Xenopus tropicalis: one gene and its partners. The protein of the gene in region 6 interacts with the protein of the main gene of each other region in a pairwise test. Links are inferred from orthologs where the notes say so. Each region holds a gene or a part of one and is shown on either strand. Other genes may lie near its edges. The genes, in order: nmi, cep63, vim, cep57l1, washc3, txlnb and deup1.

Region 1 (3,500 bases), on a different chromosome or scaffold from region 6:
TCCAGGTCATGTTATATCTGTAGTAATAAGTCAAATCAATTGGACTACCTGTGTTTTTCTTGAAGACTTCATTTGTAATGGTTTCTCCATGAATATCTGCTGTGCCTTCTTGTTAGCCATCACCAAATCTCTCATATGTCTGGTAGATGCTTTTGTTTTTATTGGATGCTGAAGGTATCTCGGTATAGTTATTGCCTGCTGTGTGATTATTTTTAAACTTTTAAAGGCGCTATGCTATGTTGTGTAGAACTTTCAAAATATAGCAATAGGGTACAAATGCAGCGCTGGTATCTGATTACCTCAACTTTCGAATTCTTTCCCATATCTAAGGAAAAACATGATGCGGCAGATAACCGTAGATCGAACTTAATCATGGAGAAAGTGGATGCAAGTGATGCAAAAATGAAAACTCAGCGGCAGGTGGAAGAACTCGCGAGAAAGCTAGATGGAACTGATGAAGAGAAAAAGGAAAAAGAAAATCTCTATGAGGTAAAGAAGAAACTATTCTTGCTCATTGTCTTATTTAGCTGCCATCATCGATCTGTACATTTAGGGGACTCTTTTCTCTGTTTTTTTCTATGCTATGGGAAAAGATACCCTGTCCTCTCATATAAAGAGTAATCATGTCCCCTCGCAAGCGCCTCTTTTCCAGAGAAAACAACCCCAACCCTGACAGTCTAACCTCATAGTTTAACCCTTCCATCCCCTTTACCAGTTTAGTTGCACGTCTCTGCACTCTCTCCAGCTCATTAATATCCTTCTTAAGGACTGGGGCCCAAAACTGCCCCCCATACTCAAGGTGAGGCCTTACCAGGGACCTATAAAGAGGCAAAATTATATTTTCATCCCTTGAGTATACTATACTATAATATATGTCTCTGAAAAGCTTTAGCGGTTTATTTATCATTTGCCAAGTGATAAGTGCACTAAGGGACATCAATTAACATGCAGAACCCACAGAGCGTGCACCTAGTCCCAGTTCCACCGTAGACACGGAGCCTTGTTCAACTCACAATGCTCTGGAGCCCTGCCCTGTGCCTTGCCCATTTGTGTCACAGAGTATCTGGCCTAGCTATCAGCTTGCCACTTTGACCACATTGTTAGTCTCAATTATAACGATTCATCGATGTTCATTGGTTTCTAATTTTCAATATTTTAGAGAGAAATAAAGGGGCTAAAAACGGAGAATTCAGATTTACAGAAACAGATTCAGGATCTCACAAAAGCCTTTAAAAGGGAGCAACGTGTTTTGGAAGATATAAAGGAGGATCTGCAGGTAAAGACACTCTCCCTTCTGATGTTTCTTTTGGGATCAGAGTAAGTTTTCGCCAAGGCAAATTCTATCGAACTTGTATTAGGCCGCACAGAGCCTGTTGTTAGTTTTTAGATCTGTATAATCTTTGTATTCTGTCTGTCTGGCAGCAGTCTCCATGTAGCCCTCCTGGAGAGTGGCAGTACCCTTATAAGAAGCCAGCTGGGGGTGCATACCAGTCAGGGACCACTTATTAATATAGGGTATGACCTGTAGAACACAGTAAATGATGGCATCATAGGTCTTCCCCTGTATTAGGCATAATGTCTAACATGTACAAACATAAAAATATAATTATAGGTATCAACCCTGTTTTATGCCAATTAGAGGGCTCGTTTATGATCATAGATGCAGTGGGAAATTTGTGTTTTTCCCTGCAGTGAGTTGCGTCTAAAACCACTTGCATCCAAAGCGTCTCTGAAGTCCGTCTTGCCTTCCTTTCCGAATGCTGCGCTGCTGAGTCTATATACGCACAGCACTGTGCAAATCCTGGAACTGCCATTACCTCCTGACCAGGCAGAACGCCAGGGTTCCCTCAGCCCTCTCTATCAATAGGCACAGTGTACTTACAGCTAAAGAATGGGGTGCAGGCATCATTTGCACACCAAACACTGACACTAGATCTGATTTACAGTGAAGCACACACACTTGCGTCCATTTTAACCTCACTGATTTTTTTCTCTGTACCAGGCTGAGATCACATTGCCACAAAAAAACATTAATTTTAAGGTTGAGGAAACCCCCAAGGATGGAGAATCTTCTCCAGACATATCCTACAAGTGCTTTGTTACAATAAATGGTGTCACTATCCTCGAAAGTGGGCAGACTCTTTTGACATTTGAAGACATCGAAGGTAAGACACAAAGCTCAGAACACTACTGGGCTGCTCTCCCAGTTGCCTTGGAACCCAGTTCAACCCCACAAACTCTGTGCCACATAAAGGGTTGAGGGGAGGTTTTTACTGTCAGTGCTGCCTTGGGATCTTCTGCTTCAATTATCCTTCCTGGCTGAATACTGAGCTCTAAACTTGACCCATGACCAATAGTGCTCACTTTGGAACCAAACTCAATGGACTGAAGGGCCTCCTCCAAGAACTGAAGGGAGATCATTATTTTTGAGATAATTATTTTTTGAATGCCCCCAACCCAGCTTTTTTGCCATTCATGTTGATACCATGAGCAGTGTGGATTTTTAAGTTGAAGGACAAATCAGCTAATGATTTCCAACAATGTGATTCCAGTACCAACTGCCAAAGAGCATGGTTGAGTGTAGGATGTAAATGTTAGGTTGAGGGAAACACACTAAAAAAACGGTTTGATATAATAATGGAAGCTTTTTTTGAAACTGATTAGCCAGACATCTGTTAGAGCAGGGATCCCCAACCTTTCTTACTTGTGAGCCACAGTCAATTGTAAAAAAAATTTGGGGAGCAACACAAGCACCAAACAAGTTCACGGGGGTGTCAAATAAGGGCTGTAATTTCCGATTAGGCAGCCTCTATGCAGTTTGGTAGTACTTTTTGTTTTTATTCAACAAAAACAATAAGCCTGAAATTTAAAAACATCCAAGAGATTGGTGAGCGCTATGTTGCCCCCGGGCCACTGGTTGCGGATCACTGTGTTAGAGTTTTGGTGCAGTTTTGCAGCTACCATTGTCTGTCTTAAAACATCTGGATCATTAAACCCACTGTAGCCTAAACAGGCACAACACACCTCTACGACAATCTCTAGCACTGCCATAGCTTCCCTCAGTAGTGGTGGGCAATAAAGCTTGTAGGCAGCCTCTACCTGCCATTTTTAATTTGCAGTTTGAAGGCAAATGATAATATACATGTATCTCAATGCACATGAGAAATTTGTTGGTGCAGTGTTGAAGGAAGAAGTGCAAGAGGATTAAGAGGTGCCTTAATGCTCATTCGAGCAGCACTTCTTCATTGGGTCTGGTTGCACTGTGCAATTTACTACAGATAAAAAATCTGCTACAGGGTGTAAAGGTGGCCATACACGGGCTGATTGTAGCTGCCGATATAGGCCCCTTAGACTGATTTGGCAGCTTATCAGACTGTGTAGGGGCAGGAATGACGGCCTGAAATCGGGAAGATATTGATCGGGCAGGTTAAAAAATTTAGTCGGATTGGGGACCGCATCGGCTTGTCCCCAAACTGACTGCGCCCATTGCCGCCGTTATA
Region 2 (3,500 bases), about 67 Mb from region 6:
GTAATTAATTCATGTAAGCATTGCATGACTAAAAAAACAACTCATCTGATAATATACCTGGTACATTTCTGCCTGCTCACTCAAAGTTTTGCGTTGTGCCTCAAGTCCAGCCAGTTGCTGCTGATACAACAGACGCTGCTTCTCCCAATCCAAAGACCTCTGTCGGAATTCCTATGGGAACACCCACCAGTGATTGCATTTATTAACAGTATAATTCAAAAGAATCACAATACTTTTCAAAACAAGGATCATTTATATCTACAACAATAACAGCAGTCCATCTGCTCAGTCATAATTACAGCAAACAAATAACTGAGTAGTTTTTACACAGGAACTTACACAAAGGCAACCTTCAGTTGCACAGGAGTACATGGAAGTTGAGTATTTTCATTCCACAAAAGCTTGAACACCCAAGGTTACAATTACTTAAACTATAAATTGTCTTTCTCTATTACTTTATCTAAGAAGTAAGTGCATATTTAAAAAGGTTCAGCTCCCTTACAACCACTTAGACTGTAAACTCTATATGGGAGGGTTGTCCTTCCACTTGTCTCTGACACTTAGCTCTTAATTTTTAATTTAACTGTACTTTGTACTTGCAAAATATAATTTTTGGCAAATAAAAGAAACAAAATTCTAAGCAGCCTTGCAATATACATTTATTACAAGTTTGTAATGGTTTTTGAGTTGGTATATATAATTGCTATTAGAAGCAGTGTTTGCCTGTCCTTTTCTAATCTCTGCCCTGGTGGCTCAGACTGTTGAAACAATGTAACACAAGCAGCAGACTGACAGACCTGACTTGCTGGAGAAGCAAGACCTTTGCGACATTGTTTAAAATGTAACAGCCAGGAGTTCAGCAAATGCTGCTTTCAATAGCAATTACATTTACAAATAACGTTTAAAGCGCTACAAATTTTTAATTATTTCATATTGGAAAGTTGCTTAGAATTATGTTTTCTTTCATTATGCAAAAAATTATTTTTGGGGTTGACATGCCCTTTAAAGAACAATAAAAATGAATATGGCTAAAATTCCATATTTTTTATAGTGAACCAGCCTAAAGTTTCAGCATCTTTGTAGCAGCAATGATCCAGGCCTTCAGAGTTGTCGCAGGAGCCCTCCATCTTGAATTTTGAAATTCACATGCTCACATGCTCAGTGTGCTCTGGGCAGCTGTTGAGAAGCTGAGCTTAGGGGTCATCACAAAGTATTGAGCAGAAAATGAAGTTGGCCTGTAAAATAAGCTGAGACTGCAGGGCTAATTATTAAAGTCTGATGCTAGCTAACTGGTTTCAGAGCTGCCACACACACAGTATATTGTAAGTGGGTCCCTAAGCTCAGGTAAGTGCCAGCAGCACAGAGTATGGGTAAGGGAATCAGCAGAAAAGAAGATGGGGGGCTACTGGGGCATATTTGGGGGCACAGATCTTCCCTGCTAAAGGGCTGTGGTTGCCTCTGGCTGGTACAGGAGCACAAAACATAATGAACAACATTTCTGCCCTACCTGTTTGCTTAAGCTTTGGTTTACCTTGAATGTATAGTTCAGTACAGTGCCGTGTGCACAAGTAGCATTATATAAATAAAAATATACATACCTCTAACCGCCGCGTCAGGCGGCTGACTTCAGATCTTTCCTCGTCTACTTTATTCTTCATCTCTGATCGCAGGTGCTTCTTCTGTACTTTCTCGTAACTTTTTTTTAATCTGTTTAACTGAGCAAAACAGTGAAATATTTTAAGATCCTAAAAATACTGCTTTAAAAGAGAAAGAAAGGTAAAAGTAAGCTTTATCAGAAAGGTCTATGTAAATACAGCCATAAGCACTCACAGAAACGCTGCACTGACTTCTTTGTCAAAATATTTCTTGTGTCTGTAATTCCTGTGCCACAGACATGCAGCTTTCTGCTCTCTCCTGCTCCCCCCTCCCTCAAGAATCCTAAGAACTCACTCCCCACCTTAGGAATGTGAATCTGAGCCAATCAGCAGGAAGCTGAGCATGTTCACTTGGTCTGGGTGTCTGTGCAGGAGTGAGGCATTATGGGAACTTTCTTTACACAGCTCAGCGTTTTTTCTTCCTGTTTGGCTTCTGATCTTCTGAACGGGAGAAATATAGGGAGACTTAAGGGCACTACTGAGAAGGTATGCCTGCAGCTTGAGATTAACTCTTTACTAGCCTTTCCTTCTCCTTTAATGAGGGCACAGATTGTATGGAGATAAAAGGCAGATAGGCCAGCTGTGTTATGAAAGCAAATCCAATGACACGCAAGGACATGTTGGATAAGGCAGGGCTAAAGAGTATTGCTCACCTCCTCCTTAAAGCCTGACAGTTGAGCCTCATACTGTACAGTCTTATTCTGAGTCTCTTCTTCCTGCTGTATGAGCTGCTGTCTCAGTCTTCTAACCTGTAGGAATCAGATTAGTTTATCCCCAAAAATACACATAATTCAAAGATAAATAATGTACATCCCAAACTAACACAGTTGTGTACTAAATGCTCATGGAACATATGTATCTGTGAGTGTCATAGACAGGAGGGAGGAATAACCGAGGTCTGAGAGAGGGGTATCCTGTGGAGTGGTCAAACTCAAAAGGGGGAATTCACAAAAGTGGCAATATTGAGACAAAATAAAAATGCAGATAGACTTGTCGGATTTTCCACCTTATTCACAAATCTCTATCTCCACTTTTGTAAAAATTTTTTAGATTTTGTCTTTTAGATGTAATTTTACTGACAATTTGTCTTTTGCCCTTTTAAAATCTGTTGGTGTGCCATCAAACCCAGACCCACATCTACACAAGCCTTGGAATAACAATTTTACCTGCAGAATTGTAGCATTTTATTTGCCAGTCATTTCACTTTAGGGGCATTTCCTGAAGGGGAATTATAGTTTGCCCATGAAAACTATCAGTTTCTTAAGGACAACCTGGACTTTATAATTTTTTGTGTAATTCCACTTCTGTAACAAAATTTAGGGGTCTAAATACCAAAGTTTTATTTTATATGTGGAAATACAACTGATTTAGAAATCGCCATGTTTCATGAATATGCCAGTGCCAAATATGTATAGTTTTATGGAGTGTCAGTGAAGTGCTGCTAAAATTAAAAATTACCTGGGAGGCGTTACTGTTCCTTCCATTATATATAAAGATTTAATAATGCAAATATGAGGTAAAAACTTGTTTATGAAAATGTTAATGATGGTTTTTGCAGCTATTGTTCTAGGGTTTCTGTTTGTCCCCTGACAATAGGCCGCTAATCCCTATCAATCTGCTAATGATCCACCAATGGTGCTCCTACAAGAGGTGTGACTTGAAGAATGGGTGAAACAAAGCAAAACAGAAGATCTTAGAATTGACCTGAGAGAGTTACACTGAGCTGTACGCCATTTTGGAAATGTCTGGGGGCCTCTTAGAGATTAATATGCAGAAGAGGAAATATCTATATTTCAAACAGGAAAACAAAGTGACCAATTCTTATAAATAAGGCATAATATACAA
Region 3 (3,500 bases), on a different chromosome or scaffold from region 6:
GGATGGGGTTAGTAGGGTTTGGGGAGAATTCTTCAATAAATTAGCCTGCAAATCAACCCTTTTTTTTACACAAAATATTCCCTTTAATTAAAGACCATTGCAGCCTAGATGCTCCACTTACTGTTAGTTTTACATATAGATGGCTGGAGTGATTGATTTTATTGATGACAGGTTGCAGGTTGGGTGTATTTTGGCTGTAAGGCTTAACCGAGTCCAGATTGCCATAAAGCAGTGCATGGACCATTTTCAAAGTGACCCTTTCCTGCTTTTAACCTTGATGTTCTTGGGTTAGAGGCATCTGGATGGAATTTGTGCTCTTGGCTACCAATAGCCTAGGTCAAACAACATCATAATAATTTTTGTTTTCCTTTAATTCATGCTTTTTTTATCCTTAGAGCCAAAGATGAACTCTGCTAAGTTATGTCATTTGGGTCTCGCCCTTAACATCTGGCATTTAAATGATTAGCACATGGGACTGGGCTGCAACAGCCCTGCATTAATATGCCTTCCTTTAGAAATGACTAGAATATCAAACCTTTAATATGCTTCTTAAAATCATTTATGTGTATTAAGGAGTTGACATATGATTTACTAGCTGTTAACTGTAACACCATTTTATTCTCAGGATGTGGACAATGCCTCTTTGGCACGTATTGACTTGGAGAGGAAAGTGGAGTCTTTACAAGAGGAGATTGTTTTCCTGAAGAAACTCCATGATGAGGTGAGACTAGAAAGCCCTACATTTATGTAGTCTGCCATGTTTGTAGTTGTATCTTGATTCTGTTATATAAATTCTACGTTTTTAAGACCTGAAAAAAAGTTGAACTTTTTGTTATTTGTTTGACTAGGAAATCCGAGAACTTCAGCTTCAAATTCAGGAGTCACATATCCAGGTTGACATGGATGTGTCCAAACCGGACCTCACTGCTGCCCTGCGTGATGTCCGCCAGCAGTACGAGAATGTGGCTGCTAAAAATCTTTCGGATGCCGAAGACTGGTACAAGTCTAAGGTGCGTCACAAGAGATTCTGCCATTAGTGGTGGTGGTTGAGAATATATATACACGAACTGTGCACCTTATGGTGCTTTGGTGGAGCTGAGAGTTGTACTTTAACAACAAAAGGTTTGGTGATGGGAATTAAAAAACTTAGCTATAGTTTTCTTGCTATACTAAACCTGCTATCCCACAGTCCCTTCCCAGAGGCCATTATCCCCCCACTGCTACTATAGGCACCATCTCCCCCCACTATACCTGCTATCCCACAGCCCCAGTCCCTTCCCAGAGGCTATTATCCCCCCACTGCTACTATAGGCACCATCTCTTCCTACTATACCTGCTATCCCACAGCCACAGTCCCTTCCCAGAGGCTATTATCCCCCACTGCTACTATAGGCACCATCTCTCACTACTATACCTGCTATCCCACAGCCCCAGTCCCTTCCCAGAGGCTATTATCCCACTGCTACTATAGGCACCATCTCTCACTACTATACCTGCTATCCCACAGCCACAGTCCCTTCCCAGGGGCTATTATCCCCCCACTGCTACTAAAGGTACCATCTCTCCCTACTATACCTGCTATACCACAGCCACAGTCCCTTCCCAGAGGCTAATATCCCCCCACTGCTACTATAGGCACCATCTCTCCCTACTATACCTGCTATCCCACAGCCCCAGTCCCTTCCCAGAGGCTATTATCCCCCCACTGCTACTATAGGCACCATCTCTCACTACTATACCTGCTATCCCACAGCCACAGTCCCTTCCCAGGGGCTATTATCCCCCCACTGCTACTAAAGGTACCATCTCTCCCTACTATACCTGCTATACCACAGCCCCAGTCCCTTCCCAGAGGCTATTATCCCCCCACTGCTACTATAGGCACCATCTCTCACTACTATACCTGCTATCCCACAGCCCCAGTCCCTTCCCAGAGGCTATTATCCCACTGCTACTATAGGCACCATCTCTCACTACTATACCTGCTATCCCACAGCCCCAGTCCCTTCCCAGAGGCTATTATCCCCCCACTGCTACTATAGGCACCATCTCTCCCTACTATACCTGCTATCCCACAGCCACAGTCCCTTCCCAGAGGCTATTATCCCACTGCTACTATAGGCACCATCTCTCCCTACTATACCTGCTATCCCACAGCCACAGTCCCTTCCCAGGGGCTATTATCCCCCCACTGCTACTAAAGGTACCATCTCTCCCTACTATACCTGCTATACCACAGCCACAGTCCCTTCCCAGAGGCTAATATCCCCCCACTGCTACTATAGGCACCATCTCACCCTACTATACCTGCTATACCACAGCCACAGTCCCTTCCCAGAGGCTATTATCCAACTGCTACTATAGGTACCATCTCTCCCTACTATACCTGCTATACCACAGCCACAGTCCCTTCCCAGAGGCTAATATCCCCCCACTGCTACTATAGGTACCATCTCTCCCTACTATACCTGCTATACCACAGCCACAGTCCCTTCCCAGAGGCTATTATCCCACTGCTACTATAGGCACCATCTCTCCCTACTATACCTGCTATCCCACAGCCACAGTCCCTTCCCAGAGGCTATTACCCCACTGCTATTATTGGCACCATCTCCCTATACTATCCTTGAGCATTAAAACAACATTCTGGTTTACATTTAACTGTACAAGAAAAACTTTAGGGAGAGCCTTGGCCTGTTATGAGTAAAATAAGAACAACAATACAATGTGATGTGTCAGTCTCAAAAACAACCATTTGTACATGACCTATAATGGCATTTAAGATACTAAAATGTAGCTTACTGTGTTGTAGTTTGCGGACCTGTCGGAAGCTGCTAATCGCAACAATGATGCCCTGCGTCAAGCTAAGCAGGATGCCAATGACTACCGCAGACAGATCCAGACTCTCACCTGCGAGATTGATGCAATGAAAGGATCTGTGAGTACAACAACTGTGACAAATGAAGGGGAATGTTGGGCAGTCCAGTTGAGTTTTCCACAGACTAAAACTTTCCAAGTGCACTGAAGCAGACAAGTGTGCATATTACTTGGATCACAAATATCCATGGGAATGCCTTTTTCTGTGATGTGATGGGGGAGAATTATACTAACATTTTAACCCATGGTGTGAATGAATTGGGTACGCCAATGATGTTATTGGTTTTATCTAGTGCTAACAATACTGTACAGTAAATAATTATGGCAGAGCCGGAACTAGGGGTAGGCAGAAAAGTTACATGCCTAGGGTGCAACGTTGAGGGTATTTGGCACATTCTTTTGCCTACCCCTAGTTCCAAGCTCTTTTTATACCCCCCACCGCGAGCTACCTCCATCCCGTCTTCAGCGCCGCCAGCAACCCGGCTTAGCTCGGCACTGAATTCTGGTACAAAGGGTCCCTACCTATAGAGCTTTTTGTGCCAAAAGGATAAGGATAAGTGACTTTCTGATGCTAGAAGACTCAGGAGTCATCCACAGACCTGAACCCTGGGGTTAGCCCTCCC
Region 4 (2,337 bases), about 15 Mb from region 6:
AGGGCAAGCAGAGTACTGCCTGTGTGTGCCATACTCTGCCTGCCTTATGCTGCCTGTGGGAGGTGAACCTGGCAGGGGTTTGTTCTGCAAGTTTATTAGCAGTCGGAAATAGCCAATAAATGGTCCCTAAGGTGTGTAATTATGTGCTGGGGGTTACTGTGCTTTACACAGGGGAAGAGGAGGCATATGGATTTAAGGTTATGTCTTAATATGACCATAATATAATTCTTTCACAAATAAATGACGGTTGATATCCCTGCAGTGAGGACCATGCATTTGGGTTTTTGCTGCACTACCACCATTGTAATAAAATGGGTGGTTTGAAGTGGGTGTGGTTTAAAAGGGGAGTGGTCAAAACTGGCTTCCATTAGCGGCCCTCCACCATGTATGCTAGAGAAATTCCGGCCCTCGGCACCGCAGAAGTTGGACAGCACTGTCCTAGCACATGCTTGAAGGTTTTGTGACAATATAGACTGATACTTGAATGAGACTATCCACCTTGACTAAAGCACCAGTTCCAGCTAATGAAATTCAGCACCAAAGCATAAGTATTAATAAAGACTGATCGTTTTAAAGACTGATCATGGTGGTCCCTTAGATTTTCCAGTGTGCACTGCTGCAGCTGGAAACTTTATGTAAATTATACTTACATTATCTTACTTTGAAGAACATAATGCGGTCATGTGCAAACAACTAACTTTTGTCTGCATGTTGCTTAAAGGTATATCATTACAACTGGACTTCAATTTTTACCATAATTTTTACACTAGATTATACCACCATCTGTATAACAGCATGTCAGAGTGTGACATTACACCTATGATGTTATGTTGCTTACATTTAACTGATGACGTTTTAATTTCATTATCTGATCACTTTTTATTTCCATTTGCTTCACAACATAATCTAGTTCTCGTTCTAGATCTTCTTTCATGTCAGTGTTCTTTGTTTCATTGATATGCCTGAGAAGCTCTTGGTGTTCACTAGGAAAAAATGCATATGTTAGACAAGCAAGTGATACAGTAAGTGACCAGTAACGGAAAAAGTAAGACCAATCAACAGGGCTTGTAGAGAAAATGAAATGCATTTTTTTTTTATACTAAAAGGTACACAAATGTACTCGGTTAACCTCCATGGTCACACGCACAAAAAAACCTACACAGATTCGAGGTTTAATATTGCCTTTGTAACACATGAAGAGTATACCGTAGTGGAAATGCCAAATATTGATGGTACAAGTATAGGATCTTTAATCCTGGGGACCTGGGGTTTTACAGATAAGGGATCTTTCCATAAAAAGTCTACTGTTTTACAAAGAATATAGAAAATATTTTTAAGAATTAAAATTCATTGTTTAAAATGGACATTACGGTATTACGGGGTTGTCTTTCCATAATTCTAAGTTTTCTATAAAAGGTTTCCGGATAATGGATCCTATAGCTGTAGTATGGAAAAAATAGAAAATGACTAACAGACAGAGCTTAGAACAGCTTGCTGTGCAAGCAAGTAAAGGTCCTCTACTAAGAACATGAAGAATCTATGGTGCTGAAGGAAATGAAGGCAGATATGTATGGAGGGCTACTGGAGAAATCACAGAAGTAAAAAGGATATGATTTCAGCATGCAACTACTATATGTCGTAAAATTACCTTATTAAAATTACCATTATTTCTATAAAGACTGCGTTTTGTAGGCAGGCTAAGAAAAGCAGATTGGCTCTCTTCTACATCTCTGTATAGCTGCATTGACAGACACAGCTTCTGTCTGCCTGCAGCTAAACAAGGTGGAAATTGGCCTGAACAACATGAAAACAGGCATTTTCAGATCCACCTCCATGTAGCTGTACTCAGGCGGAAGCTATGCTTGTCAGTGCAGCTATATGGAGCTGCGGAAGACAGCATATCTGCTTCTCTCAGACTGTCTACAAAACTCAGGCTGAGAGAAGCAGAGTCAACACTGTGTGACCAGGGCCTTACATTATAAGTTCTTGTAAGAGCTTTCTGATCCTATTTTTATTCTGTAATCTTTGTTTATTAAATTATTGTAATAGCCCTGTTTGGCATACATAATAATGTAAAGTGCTGCGTAACTTGCAGAACTGTAGATCCATTACTTTATGAATGCCTATTGATATATAACTATGGAGTACTCACAAACTAATTTGCCCCAGCTCATCTTGTAAAGCTAACAAAATGTCAGACAAATTGTCTCCGGTAAAAGAAGATATTAAGCGCGTGGGTATAGTTCTACTTCCACCTGGCAAAACGGAGGGTTTGTGTTCAGCAGTTTTAGGGTTCTTTTGTGAAACCTGTGGGCTGTGGTGTTTCATCATGTGCAA
Region 5 (3,500 bases), on a different chromosome or scaffold from region 6:
GGCCTGTTTTATTTCCCTAAGTACAGTAATACCCACTTGTGCATTAAATGTGAATAATAAACATACAAATAGGATAATCCTGATAGTTTAACATATACACTTTATATATATATATATATTTATACACAGGTGCCTGTATTTTTTTTAGTGCATTTTTCCTGTTAGTTCAATAAAAAGGGTTTATGGAGAAGTTTACTGTATATGAGACAAAAGAAAAAAAAAATCAAATAAACGTATTAAGTTTTGGGATACCACACAAGGTTATTTTATATACCTTACAGCTCTGAGGCATCAACAGGTTTAACACTAAGGCACATTTTGTCCTAAAATACTACACTTGTAGCTACAACGTGTATCTATGTAAACTGACAGTAATGAGATAACAGGCAGATCAGATGCCTGCAATAAGTGGGAACAAATCTGCCCGGATTAGGAGGAGTCTAAATGCTCTCAGTCACTGAAGGAAGACTCACTGTCGGAACTTTCTTCTGCTTCAGCTTCTCCATCTGGCACTGGTGCATCAGGAGTTCTGGGGAAATAAACGTTAGAAATTGCATTATTCTTCTCCTTATATCTATGAAAGAAGCCCAGAAATGTATCAGAATTTCAACTCAGACCTACAGTGCAAGTTAATGGAAATATACAGTAATGCAGTTTGGAAGGCACAGAAAAAGACAGTCTATTAAATACAATGCATTATTATATATTCCAGCATGTTATACTTTTCTATTTGGCTATTGGAGATTTCGTTCATGGTCAGTTTTAGGCCCCATTATTCATATAAGCAGGTCTTGGGCATGGAATCTTAGGAATTTCTGCAGCAGCCAACAGAGCCAGTAGTTTCTACTAACTCCAGGACAGGTTAAACAAGTTGGTGGCGCACAATTTAGGAAAACTAACTACTGATGTCTATTCATGGTCCTTATTAACTGGCTGTACTTTATATTGTAATACAGCACTGCTAGGTTTTTGCTGTAAGTAGCCACAAGCTACATTTGGGGAATCTACATATAATTTATTTGCTCTGTACACAAAACAAACTGCCTGATGACAGTTCTGCTCAGCCGTCATACTCTTGCGGAACTTCAGGATTATATCGGTTATGGTTCCGTTACAGCAGAGAACAAACCCTGTATAGTCACTATGCCTTGAAAACTCAAACATTGCCACCTTGTGTCTGTTAATAAAACTGCACAAATCTGTAGCTTCATTACCATTGCAAAGTTAAAGGCAAAATATCCCACTAGTGGCTGATGATGAAATTTATTTTATTTTGTTACTGTTTAGATACTGAATTATTTGCACGCTCTTAAACCTAAGGTTTTTGTTCCAGCTGCAAACAACACATTCATGGGGTGGTCATTCATCTGGTCTGCCTACCTTTTGTATCACATGTTCTCACATAGGGGTATCCTGAACATTGTAAACCAACAAAAAACCATAACTGCACAAAACTTCCAAGTTCCCTACTCCTTGTTTAATAGTAAAAGAAGATTGTTGTTCATTTTCAGGCCAGAATAGAATGCTATATTTGCTTATGGACTACATTATACTGGCCAATTATGGATGCCCGAGACCAACTGCTACATATAAAACAGAATACACCAAGCAATTAACCTATATTTTTCAGGATAATTTAGCCTTTGGGGGGCATTCATTACAAAATACCCTATGTTAATGTTTTAAACATAAAGAAAGTAACCTAAAAGTCCAGGTAGTTCAGCCAATCACATTATATCTAGACAATATGGATCACTTGCCTCACTCTGCAACCAAGCCACATACATATCTTCACTTACTCTAAAAGGTCTGGATTTAGCCCTTCTGAAATCATTTTATTCTTGATAGCCATCACTGGGACACCCTGGTAATTGAAAAAAATTAATACATTTACAGTATACCACATTTTAAAAATGTATAATGTAAAAGAATTATGACCCAATTTAATTAAAGCTCACAGTATGTAGTTCTATAAAAAAAATATTTGAACATTTTACTGAAGGTGCTTAAGTGGCAAATCTTGTTTTCATTAAAACCTTTTTACACACTGGCGGGTACACAGCAGCCATACAGTCAATAGAAATCCATATTTTAAATCACAGTGACCCACCAAGCAAGTGTAAATGGATTAACAAAGTTTAGTAATACATGAAGCCTTGCTCAGAAAGCAGAGTATAAAGTGTTAATTGGTGAAGAAGCTATGAAAAAAGTGAAAGGAAATGATAAGTGGTACTAGAAAAAAAATTACATGGATCATCACTGGAATCAAACATACTGTAGGAAGGTTAATGGTAATATTGTTATTATGCCAGCAATAGTGTGGTAATGTCACTACTGTGACTAATAAAAGTAATTATAAACAACAACTAAGATGTATAAGGACACTAGACATTAATAATTATCTAACCAGTGGTCCACCCAATGATCCTGGGGGATGACAATTTATTACAGCTGAAAGGCCACAAGCTGAACAGGTCTATGTGATATTTATTTCATTCATTAATTTCTTAGAATGTCCAACACAAAAGGGTTAAAAAAAAAATATATTTTACATGCAGGGTATCATATCAGCTAGGATGTCTGTAAACTATACAAATAAAACTTTTTTATGGTTTGCGCTTTAAATAACCTTGCAGTTTACAGAAGGCTGCACGACATAAAATTTTATATTTTGCCAATGCAGTTACAAATTTTAGCATACACGCACCAAATAAGCAGTTTTATTTAACAATAAAGTTATTAGAATGACTTACCACTTGGACCATCTTTAGATATCGGGCATATCTAGGATCTTTCGAAACAGTTGTAATGTTTTCCGATTTTGCCTCCTCTTTTTGAAGAATACCATCACTTATGGAATTGTTCTAAATGACCACAATTGATCAGTTTCAATGTAAATAGGTCAGTTTGTATAAATTTACATAAAATGCACACAAACCTCCCGCAAGATTTTCCCAGTTACATATGGTCCAAATTATCTGGACACCTCTGTCCAACATTTTACTCTAAAACCAAGGGAAGTTGTCTCTTTGCTTCTTTAACCGCCTTTATAACACATGCTCTTCTTAAAAGGCTTCCACCAGATGCTGGGACATTGTTGGTGGCATTTGCTTCCATTTAAAAGTAAGATGTTGGGCACGACAGGCCTGGCTCATGCTGCCATTCTAATTCACCCTACAGGAGTTCAGTTGGGTTAAGATCAATGCATGGTGCAGGCCAGTAAAGCTTTTCTGCTCCCATCTCTGCAAACCAATTCTGTATGTACCATTATTGTCTTCCCCAAACTGCTACTACTAAGCAGGAACCTCGGAATTGAAAAGTCATTGTTTGATGTAGTGGCACCTATGATGGGTGTGGCTTATAAAGCCAGTTCCAATATATAAGGGATGTCTACAAAATTTTAACCACAGTATATAAGGCTGTGGGCACTAAGAACCCTTATTTTCAGTTCATCATTGGACAAGGGGTAACCAAAAGGTAAAAAAAGAACACTTAGGAGT
Region 6 (4,058 bases):
TCTAGGGTAGCACTCAAGTGTTCACCCCCATATCCAGGGCCAGAACTAGGGGTAGGCAGAAAAAGCATGTGCCTAGGGAGCAATGGTACCTTTTCTTTTACCTAACCCTAATTCTGGGCCCTTTTTCCCCCACCATCCACATGTGAGCTACTTCCCTCCCCTGTCTTCAGCGCCGCCCCCCCTCCCCTGTGTCAAAAATGGCTGGACGAGGAGGCCAGCTGGGTGGTCTAGGGTGCCCGGATGGCTTGGCCTGGCACTACCCATATTGCTCACTTTTAAGCTTCACTTACAGTAGTGTTTAGGAAACCAAATAGATATTCTCTGCCAGTTTCACCATAACTGGCCTTAAAAAGATACTGACACCAGAAATGAAACCTTTTATACATCTATTGTAACATTGGCTTTGCATGAGCTTTATCATGTTGCCAAAAAAGTATTTCCTGATGCTTTCCATTAGTTATCTGATCCCCCATGTTCTTCTGTGAGGGGGCAGCCATATTTGTGCAGCAGTAGGCCGTTAGCATTAGAAGCTATAACTGACAGGCTGAGAAGGGACAGTCAGGTTGTCAAAACAGTCAGGTGTAGGAACTTCAAGCAACAATTACATACAAAACCAACCCTAACAGTGAAAAAAGATCAACATGACCTATAGGTAACTTTTTATGTAGATTCATAATTTGAAAAGTAATTTTTTTGAGTCAGTATCACTTCATCATTTACCTAGGGAGATGAAGTTATAATATTGGAAATACTATACTCCCAGTACAATATATAAGGATATTTTAAGTTTCTATGGCTATATAAATGGAAAAGTATGCAGGATGCAGAGTGCAGATAATGAAATGTCTAATATCCTTATGTTTTACACATGTGGTACTTTATCATTAGGAATCACCTTTTCTAAGTATATATTTTACATATATATTATAGGTTATATTTGTGAATAATAAGATGTAAAGAATGCTACAAACAGTTTTGATATTATTAAAGTTCACCTTTAAATTAATTTGTAGCATGATGTAGACCAGTGATCCCTAACCAGTGGCTTGTGACCAATTTGTTGCTCACCACTAGTGATGAATTAAATTTTTCAGCAGGCATGGATTTGCTGCAAATTTCCATCTTTCACCATTGGCGGATTATTTTGTGAAATGTGTGCAAAAATTTGCAGCGGAAAAATTTGCAGTGCGCAAGTAAAAAAAACGAGCGTCAAAAAATGCAACTCGTCAAAAAAATCTTTTTTCAATACTCTGAGTCAATTTACAACTGGTTTTTATTTTTAATTTTTTTGTAGCTTATATATTTGTTCATCAGCTCTCACAGTCTATCTATCTGGCTGCTATGGTTTAGCAAGTCTGGCCTAGAAACAAAGCTGTGGTTTAAATGAGAGAATTTAATATGAATAATAAAATTGTAGCCTTACAGAGTAATAGGTTTTTGGCTGATAGTGACTCCAATTTAAAAGCTGGAAAGAGATAACCAAATAATTCAAAAACTGAAAAATAAAGATCATTTGAAAAGTTGCTAAGAATTGAACATTCTATAACATCCTAAAGTTACCATAAAAGAACATTAGCCCTTTAATGGCTACACAATCATTGTTTTAAAACCAACACTGCTTGAGTCCCTGTGTTCTAAAAAGTGATGTTTTTGATGTCACTTAAATTACTGATAGATATAATCAGATATATAATCAATTCAGAGCAACTCTTGCATTTACATATTTTCTTAATGTTAGAATATAACGCTATAATAAAAAGCAGCACATTATATGTCACTGATCAAGAAAAAGATTGTATTTCTTCTTGGCAAAGTGCTCCCTTCTGTCCCTTCATACAGATGGACAGCACCTGTTGTCAAGCCAGAAACTATTTTAGGCCCCACTGAAAAAGTATCCCAGGGGTTTGTCAAAATAGCATTTGTATTACATATTAAAGTGCACACAAACTTACCAAACATACTCCCTGTGAAAAGCTAACAAAAAAAAGTACTGTGTTTCATAATATTATAAATCCTACAGTTAAATAAAGCCCCATTTTACTATACTAGCACTGCTCTCTTGGCAAACAAAGAATTCCTTGTCAGTGGCAGTACACAATATCAGACAGATATATTAATCTCTGCCAAAAGGGATTAACTGCAATGTTGAAAAATCAGAAATTAGACATTTTGCACTGCAAAAGAATCACCGCTAATTAGGTAAAGTTTTTAACAATTAAAGAAACTCAGTGCTGTATTTCATATATCAGACCTTGAATGACTACAGTTAAACAAGAGTGGGAAACAGGCATAGTGGGAAGACCAAGGCGTCAATAAAAAGGGAGAAAAATATGTTAATTGGGGAGGTCCAGTAAGAGATCCCGATTTACTGTTTTTTTTAATCAAAACTCTCAGCACACCCCGACAGCCAGGTAGCCAAACTAAACATCCCTGAATATGTAACTAAAAGCATCTGACAAATGTTACAGAGTATTTGTATTTTTGGCAACATTTTTCCCTAAGGTAGGGCCCAGGTAAGAATACTTCACAGAATGAAGGGCCCAGGCCAGATGGCTTCCTTATAACCTGCCCTTTAAATTATTGTAATTTAGAAACAGAAATAAAGTAAATCACAAATAAGAGCTAAACCGTCAAGCATAAAATCCTAAATGCGGTTATCTAGGAATTAATTAAAATATAATATTTCTAAAGAACTTACCATGGAAGACTTGAAGAAGAGCAGAAAGTATAACCTATGTAGGCAACGTGAGCGAAAAAGGGACAACTGGAGAAAGAGGCAGGACATTTAGAGAATGGCTTATGGAGGAGGGGAAAAAGGAACAGATGAGGGCGATGACAGCTTGCCAAAATTAGACAGGGAATGCAACTAAAGGATAAGAGAATACAACTATAACCCTCTTGAAGGGCATTCACATAAAAAAACAACAAATTGTAGGTTCTGTAAAAAAAATTTAAAACTATGAAAATGCTTTTTTTATTATATGGAAAAGTTTTGTTGGTAAATACAAAGCAACAGCTATATTTAGCAGAGAAGATATTTAAGAAACGTGACTTTACTGTATGGAATTTAATTACATACAGTTCTAGCATTGTAAGACTATGGGTCGACTTGTATGAAAAGACAAGATCTTATCTACACACACATAAATTAAAGATATAAAGAACAATTAATATCTGATTGTACATTAACTGCAATGTCTATAGTGTCATCTGTATTAAGCAGGGCCCTCTTTACCTACTGTATCTTTAATTTTTTTGAATTAAATCTGTGTGTATATATTTAATGTATGCACCCCATGGTACAGAGAATATTTTGGCACCTATGCCTGCCATTTTAATTCTATAATTTGGCCCTAGGGCCAAATTAGCCCTACATCGCCCACTTATAGGTGCCGACCTCGCCAAACGAGTGGATCTTACAGTGTATGGCCACCATTACTCAGTCTTAGCACTTATGAGGCAATGCCTCATCCACTGTAAACTGCAGCCCTTTGACCCACCCACTTACCTTGTAAGCACTATGGGCTAGCACTATGTGCTAGCTCCTTCCTCTTGTCTTTTAACACTTTTCCTGCCAACAGCGTATGGCATAAGTGATTGCAGAAATATGCTTTATCTGCCAACCACGTATGTCATACGTTGTTTGGCAGATGCCACTTCTGCAGAGAGTCCTGAGCGATGACAGCCCCCTGGGCAACGAGCCAGGGGGGCTGTCATGTGGGTCCTGCGATGCAATCATCATAGGACCAACCTCCAAGCAGCAGATGTGATCTGCTGCTTCTCCTTCGGCTCAGAGGACAGAGGACTCTGCAGGACCACTGAGGACAGCTGATTGCAATCTGATTGCTTGCAATCTGATTGGCCATCTAGCTCTAGGACAGGTAAGTGCCCTTTCCTTACACTATTATACACACTTTCACACACTCACATACAATTACTTGCATTTACACACACATAGAACACACATATTAGAACAGTTTTTTAAAAAAAATTTGCACACTTTAGCACACTTTTATACACTCATATACACACTTACATGCTGTCACACAACATTTAGA
Region 7 (3,500 bases), on a different chromosome or scaffold from region 6:
TCCCCAGCTTTTTATTCATTAACATGTTGCTCATGGGTAAACAAAGGTTGGGGATCCCTGTACTAGAGGGTGGCCATTAAAGCTCTGCATCTTCCTACATGATAGCGGATATAACTGCGGCAGCAACTCTTCATAATAATTTCCATATTTACACGGAACTGTTCGGGTAACCTGATAGCTGGGTAAATGACACGTTATTATTTCGCTTGACAGATCAACAGATGATAGCTGCGTGCCGCCATCTATCCGGCCATTACCTGGGACTGCTTTTGACATCTCCTTAGTTCCTGTAAGAGCTGCTGATTTTCATCTTTCAGCGAGTCCCTGCTTAATGTGATTTCTTTTACAGTAGACTTGAGGTTTTCTATGATGACCCCGTCACTCCTGATGGTCTCCTGGGAAGTATCAAGCAGGCACCGCAGTCGTCGCATTTCAGACTGGTTATTGGTAATTGCTTCACTCTGCAGCTGCTTCTGGCTGGAAAGCTGCTCCTGATAGCTCAGCGACTCCTTCTACCAGGACGACACATAAAATCAGAATTATTTTGTGACCCTGCAATTGTAACGACATACTGAGAATCAATTAGACAAATGAAATGGAAGAACGGCTTCTGGTAACTGCGCCACCACAATTATTAGATGTGATGAGAAGCCGGGGAGTAAATATAGAACGTGGGGGAGCCAAAGGAAAGGTTTCCATTAAATCACAAAAATCCTCTAATGGAAATGTTCTGCTGGATATCTAAGTTCTTGAATAAAAATCTGATTTTAAGCTGGAAGCGATCCAGCGTGAGCAAAAATGGGATGAAGTACAAAATAAATCCTATTATGTGCACAGAACAGCAAAAATTGTATTACAGAGGCAAACTTAGAACTTCCCTTGGTCTGTCTGTAGGGTCCAATGTTCTTTCCTTCAGCTAAGCTCTGTCTCTTGAGCTTTGCTTTGTTCCATGTAACAGGAAGACAAATACCTACAAGCTTTGACTGATTTATGGATTGAATTTATCTACAAATATATCAAACAATACAAATAAACCTAAAGGTAGAGGTTTTTGGACTGTTTTCTTACTCAGTACCCTTCTGAGGGGCAAAGCTTGGGCTCAGAACCCATCACTCATAACAAGAATCATTAACAGATTCAAGAACATCTAGTACAGCAAATGCATGTTTTGCCCCAAATCTCAATCTATCCATCAATCTGGGCTTCCAAGAGCATCTAGAAGAGCCAACAAGCCTTCTCCCCAAAGGCTGATGGGACACGTGGCATCACTGCCATCGGGTAGAGAACAGCGGTGGTCAAACACCTTAACTTGACTCTCATTACCGTCCATTGATGTCTATTTGACTCAATCTCATTCTTGCCTAATCTAATATCTGGTACTTTCGAATCCACCAATCGAGCACATTCTAATAGTGCTGTTCACTAAGTTCCTAAACATCTGATGCTGCCATGGCATCAGCACATTATACAAAGTTCCCAACCAAGATGTCAAGATTTTAGACAATGATTTCTGTAAAAAATATTTTGGCCAAGATATCTACAGATGGAAGTCATTTTTATTAGGGATGCACCGAATCCAGGATTTGGTTCGGGATTCAGCTTTTTTCATCAGGATTTAGATTCGGCCGAATCCACGCTTTTGGCCGAACTGAATACGAAAAGTCACGTGACCTTTTTGTCAAGCAAACATGGAAGTTGAAAATTTTAAACCTTCAGAAACGTAATTAGCTTATGCCAATTAGGATTCGGTGCATCCCTACTTTCTATATCCGTTAGTGCTCTGAGACTCCAGCTACTTTATCAATCTGCCTGGCATGTGTGCCACTTGTGCCCGCGGCCTTGATCCAACAGTACGATGATGCCAAAGAGAAGAGAATGACAAATTCTAAGCAACTTGCATTTTATTTATTGTTTACAGTTTTTTAAATTATTTGCCGTCTTCTGACTCTTTCCAACTTTCAAATGGGGGGTCACTGACCCCAGCAGCCAAAAACCTATTGCTCTGTGAGGCTACAATTGTATTATTATTGTAATTATTATTACTTATTTTTCTCCAATTACTATTCCAGTCTCTATTCTGCTGAACGGAAAGTACATGGCCTTTTGGGTCACTACCACCATTATTTTGCATCCATCTGCCCAGACATCAATATATGAAAAGGCAGAATGGGCCATTTTGGTCGCTTCTGATTGAATAAGCAACCGGCTGCACAAAATAATTTCTTATTCTAGCCAAAGACTGCTCACATATGTGTTGGGTGGAGAATTTTAATGGTTGAAAAATGCATATGTCTAGGTATGCCAACTCCAGTTCAATGGCTGCCAGCATGATCTGTTCATTGTGACTAGGATCAGCGCAGTGAGTTGGGCAATAATGTTTGTTTAGGGGAATGCATGTAAACTAATCTTTACATTTATTTCTCATTATATTTATACTAAAGTAATGCTGACCAACTGCAGGCCTGTTCCAAAAGGTATCTTGGAAAGTGTTTTATTGGATAACTGGTCAGCTACATGGAAGAAATGGACTGCACTGCAGTAATGTCTATATCACAGTGCTGTCTATCTCTTACTCAGAATCACATTGCCTTTTACTTACCCTTTATGAGAACTGACTGAAAGTGCAAACATGGGCAAATCAGGCAGTTTTCATAGGGGCCAGTTTCAGCCTGTTTATTATTTCCTGTTATTTATATAGCGCCGACCCATTTCCACAGCGCTTTATAGAGATTATACATTATTCGCATCAGTCACTGCCCCAGAGTACTGAACTCAGGACCTGCCCGTTTGTGATACTAAAATGCGGTGGGCAAAACAATTGTGATCGTGCCTACTGACTGCTATATTATTTGATATCAGCATCTGTAAAGGTGATCGGGTAAGAGCAACATCCAAAGCATTTATTCTGGTAAATAAGTTTTTTAAAAAAAGCAAAGATGTCAATGGTTGCTATGGGCAACCAACTGGCGCAATTTCCATAAATACAAACTCCTTCCTTGCAAACCTAATAGCCAGACCCCATCAGTCATAATCGCTTACCTAGGGGGTTCATGGCTCTACGATTTATAAAATACCAATTATTTTTTATAGCACTTCAGAGCTTGTTTTTCCAAGTGATGTAAAAAAAAATATATTGTGTTTCATGGCAACAGTTGTTTCAGTAATTCTTCCTATTCCTTCAGAACTGCACTAACACTGGGCAAATTTACACCTGGCCATAGCAACCAATCAGTGATTAGCTTTTTTCAGGCACCTGCTGGTTGAAAAGTTTTTTGTTGGTTGCCATGGGATACTGCCCAGGTGTGAATTTGCCCAGGCTTTATAAATGAACCCCAGAGGGGCTCCCCTCCCGGGACAAGTATGAGAAGGAGATTTGGGTCTTTCACTTCATGTGGGTCTTTCACTTCATGACACCCTTCACCAGATGAGCCACCATAGACAAGAGGTCCAGTTGATGACCCATGGGCCAAACAATCTGATCATCCCGATCTGACCCAGCG

What was found.
Region 1: the proteins of txlnb (region 6) and nmi interact in binary tests that used the Homo sapiens proteins (3 or more experiments, as listed by UniProt). The two-hybrid records come from large-scale screens. The link is inferred for Xenopus tropicalis from reciprocal best matches to the Homo sapiens genes TXLNB and NMI.
Region 2: the proteins of txlnb (region 6) and cep63 interact in binary tests that used the Homo sapiens proteins (3 or more experiments, as listed by UniProt). The two-hybrid records come from large-scale screens. The link is inferred for Xenopus tropicalis from reciprocal best matches to the Homo sapiens genes TXLNB and CEP63.
Region 3: the proteins of txlnb (region 6) and vim interact in binary tests that used the Homo sapiens proteins (3 or more experiments, as listed by UniProt). The two-hybrid records come from large-scale screens. The link is inferred for Xenopus tropicalis from reciprocal best matches to the Homo sapiens genes TXLNB and VIM.
Region 4: the proteins of txlnb (region 6) and cep57l1 interact in binary tests that used the Homo sapiens proteins (3 or more experiments, as listed by UniProt). The two-hybrid records come from large-scale screens. The link is inferred for Xenopus tropicalis from reciprocal best matches to the Homo sapiens genes TXLNB and CEP57L1.
Region 5: the proteins of txlnb (region 6) and washc3 interact in binary tests that used the Homo sapiens proteins (3 or more experiments, as listed by UniProt). The two-hybrid records come from large-scale screens. The link is inferred for Xenopus tropicalis from reciprocal best matches to the Homo sapiens genes TXLNB and WASHC3.
Region 7: the proteins of txlnb (region 6) and deup1 interact in binary tests that used the Homo sapiens proteins (3 or more experiments, as listed by UniProt). The two-hybrid records come from large-scale screens. The link is inferred for Xenopus tropicalis from reciprocal best matches to the Homo sapiens genes TXLNB and DEUP1.

Annotation. Positions count from the first base shown.
Region 1 is NC_030685.2:76,351,363-76,354,862, forward strand, and holds part of nmi (N-myc-interactor), read left to right. Parts: intron 1-330; coding exon 331-489; intron 490-1,159; coding exon 1,160-1,276; intron 1,277-2,002; coding exon 2,003-2,165; intron 2,166-3,500. UniProt on the Homo sapiens protein: Acts as a signaling pathway regulator involved in innate immune system response.
Region 2 is NC_030681.2:130,326,526-130,330,025, reverse strand, and holds part of cep63 (centrosomal protein of 63 kDa), read right to left. Parts: intron 2,405-3,500; coding exon 2,309-2,404; intron 1,716-2,308; coding exon 1,599-1,715; intron 172-1,598; coding exon 58-171; intron 1-57. UniProt on the Homo sapiens protein: Required for normal spindle assembly.
Region 3 is NC_030682.2:28,577,923-28,581,422, reverse strand, and holds part of vim (vimentin), read left to right. Parts: intron 1-625; coding exon 626-721; intron 722-848; coding exon 849-1,010; intron 1,011-2,812; coding exon 2,813-2,938; intron 2,939-3,500. UniProt on the Homo sapiens protein: Vimentins are class-III intermediate filaments found in various non-epithelial cells, especially mesenchymal cells. Vimentin is attached to the nucleus, endoplasmic reticulum, and mitochondria, either laterally or terminally.
Region 4 is NC_030681.2:77,956,228-77,958,564, forward strand, and holds part of cep57l1 (centrosomal protein cep57l1), read right to left. Parts: coding exon 2,153-2,337; intron 984-2,152; coding exon 839-983; intron 1-838. UniProt on the Homo sapiens protein: Centrosomal protein which may be required for microtubule attachment to centrosomes.
Region 5 is NC_030679.2:49,091,941-49,095,440, forward strand, and holds part of washc3 (WASH complex subunit CCDC53), read right to left. Parts: intron 2,865-3,500; coding exon 2,754-2,864; intron 1,865-2,753; coding exon 1,800-1,864; intron 530-1,799; coding exon 451-529; 3' UTR 1-450. UniProt on the Homo sapiens protein: Acts as a component of the WASH core complex that functions as a nucleation-promoting factor (NPF) at the surface of endosomes, where it recruits and activates the Arp2/3 complex to induce actin polymerization, playing a key role in the fission of tubules that serve as transport intermediates during endosome sorting.
Region 6 is NC_030681.2:63,185,840-63,189,897, forward strand, and holds the start of txlnb (beta-taxilin), read right to left. Parts: upstream 2,801-4,058; 5' UTR 2,786-2,800; coding exon 2,699-2,785; intron 1-2,698. UniProt on the Homo sapiens protein: Promotes motor nerve regeneration. May be involved in intracellular vesicle traffic.
Region 7 is NC_030678.2:165,843,015-165,846,514, forward strand, and holds part of deup1 (deuterosome assembly protein 1), read right to left. Parts: intron 513-3,500; coding exon 258-512; intron 1-257. UniProt on the Homo sapiens protein: Key structural component of the deuterosome, a structure that promotes de novo centriole amplification in multiciliated cells.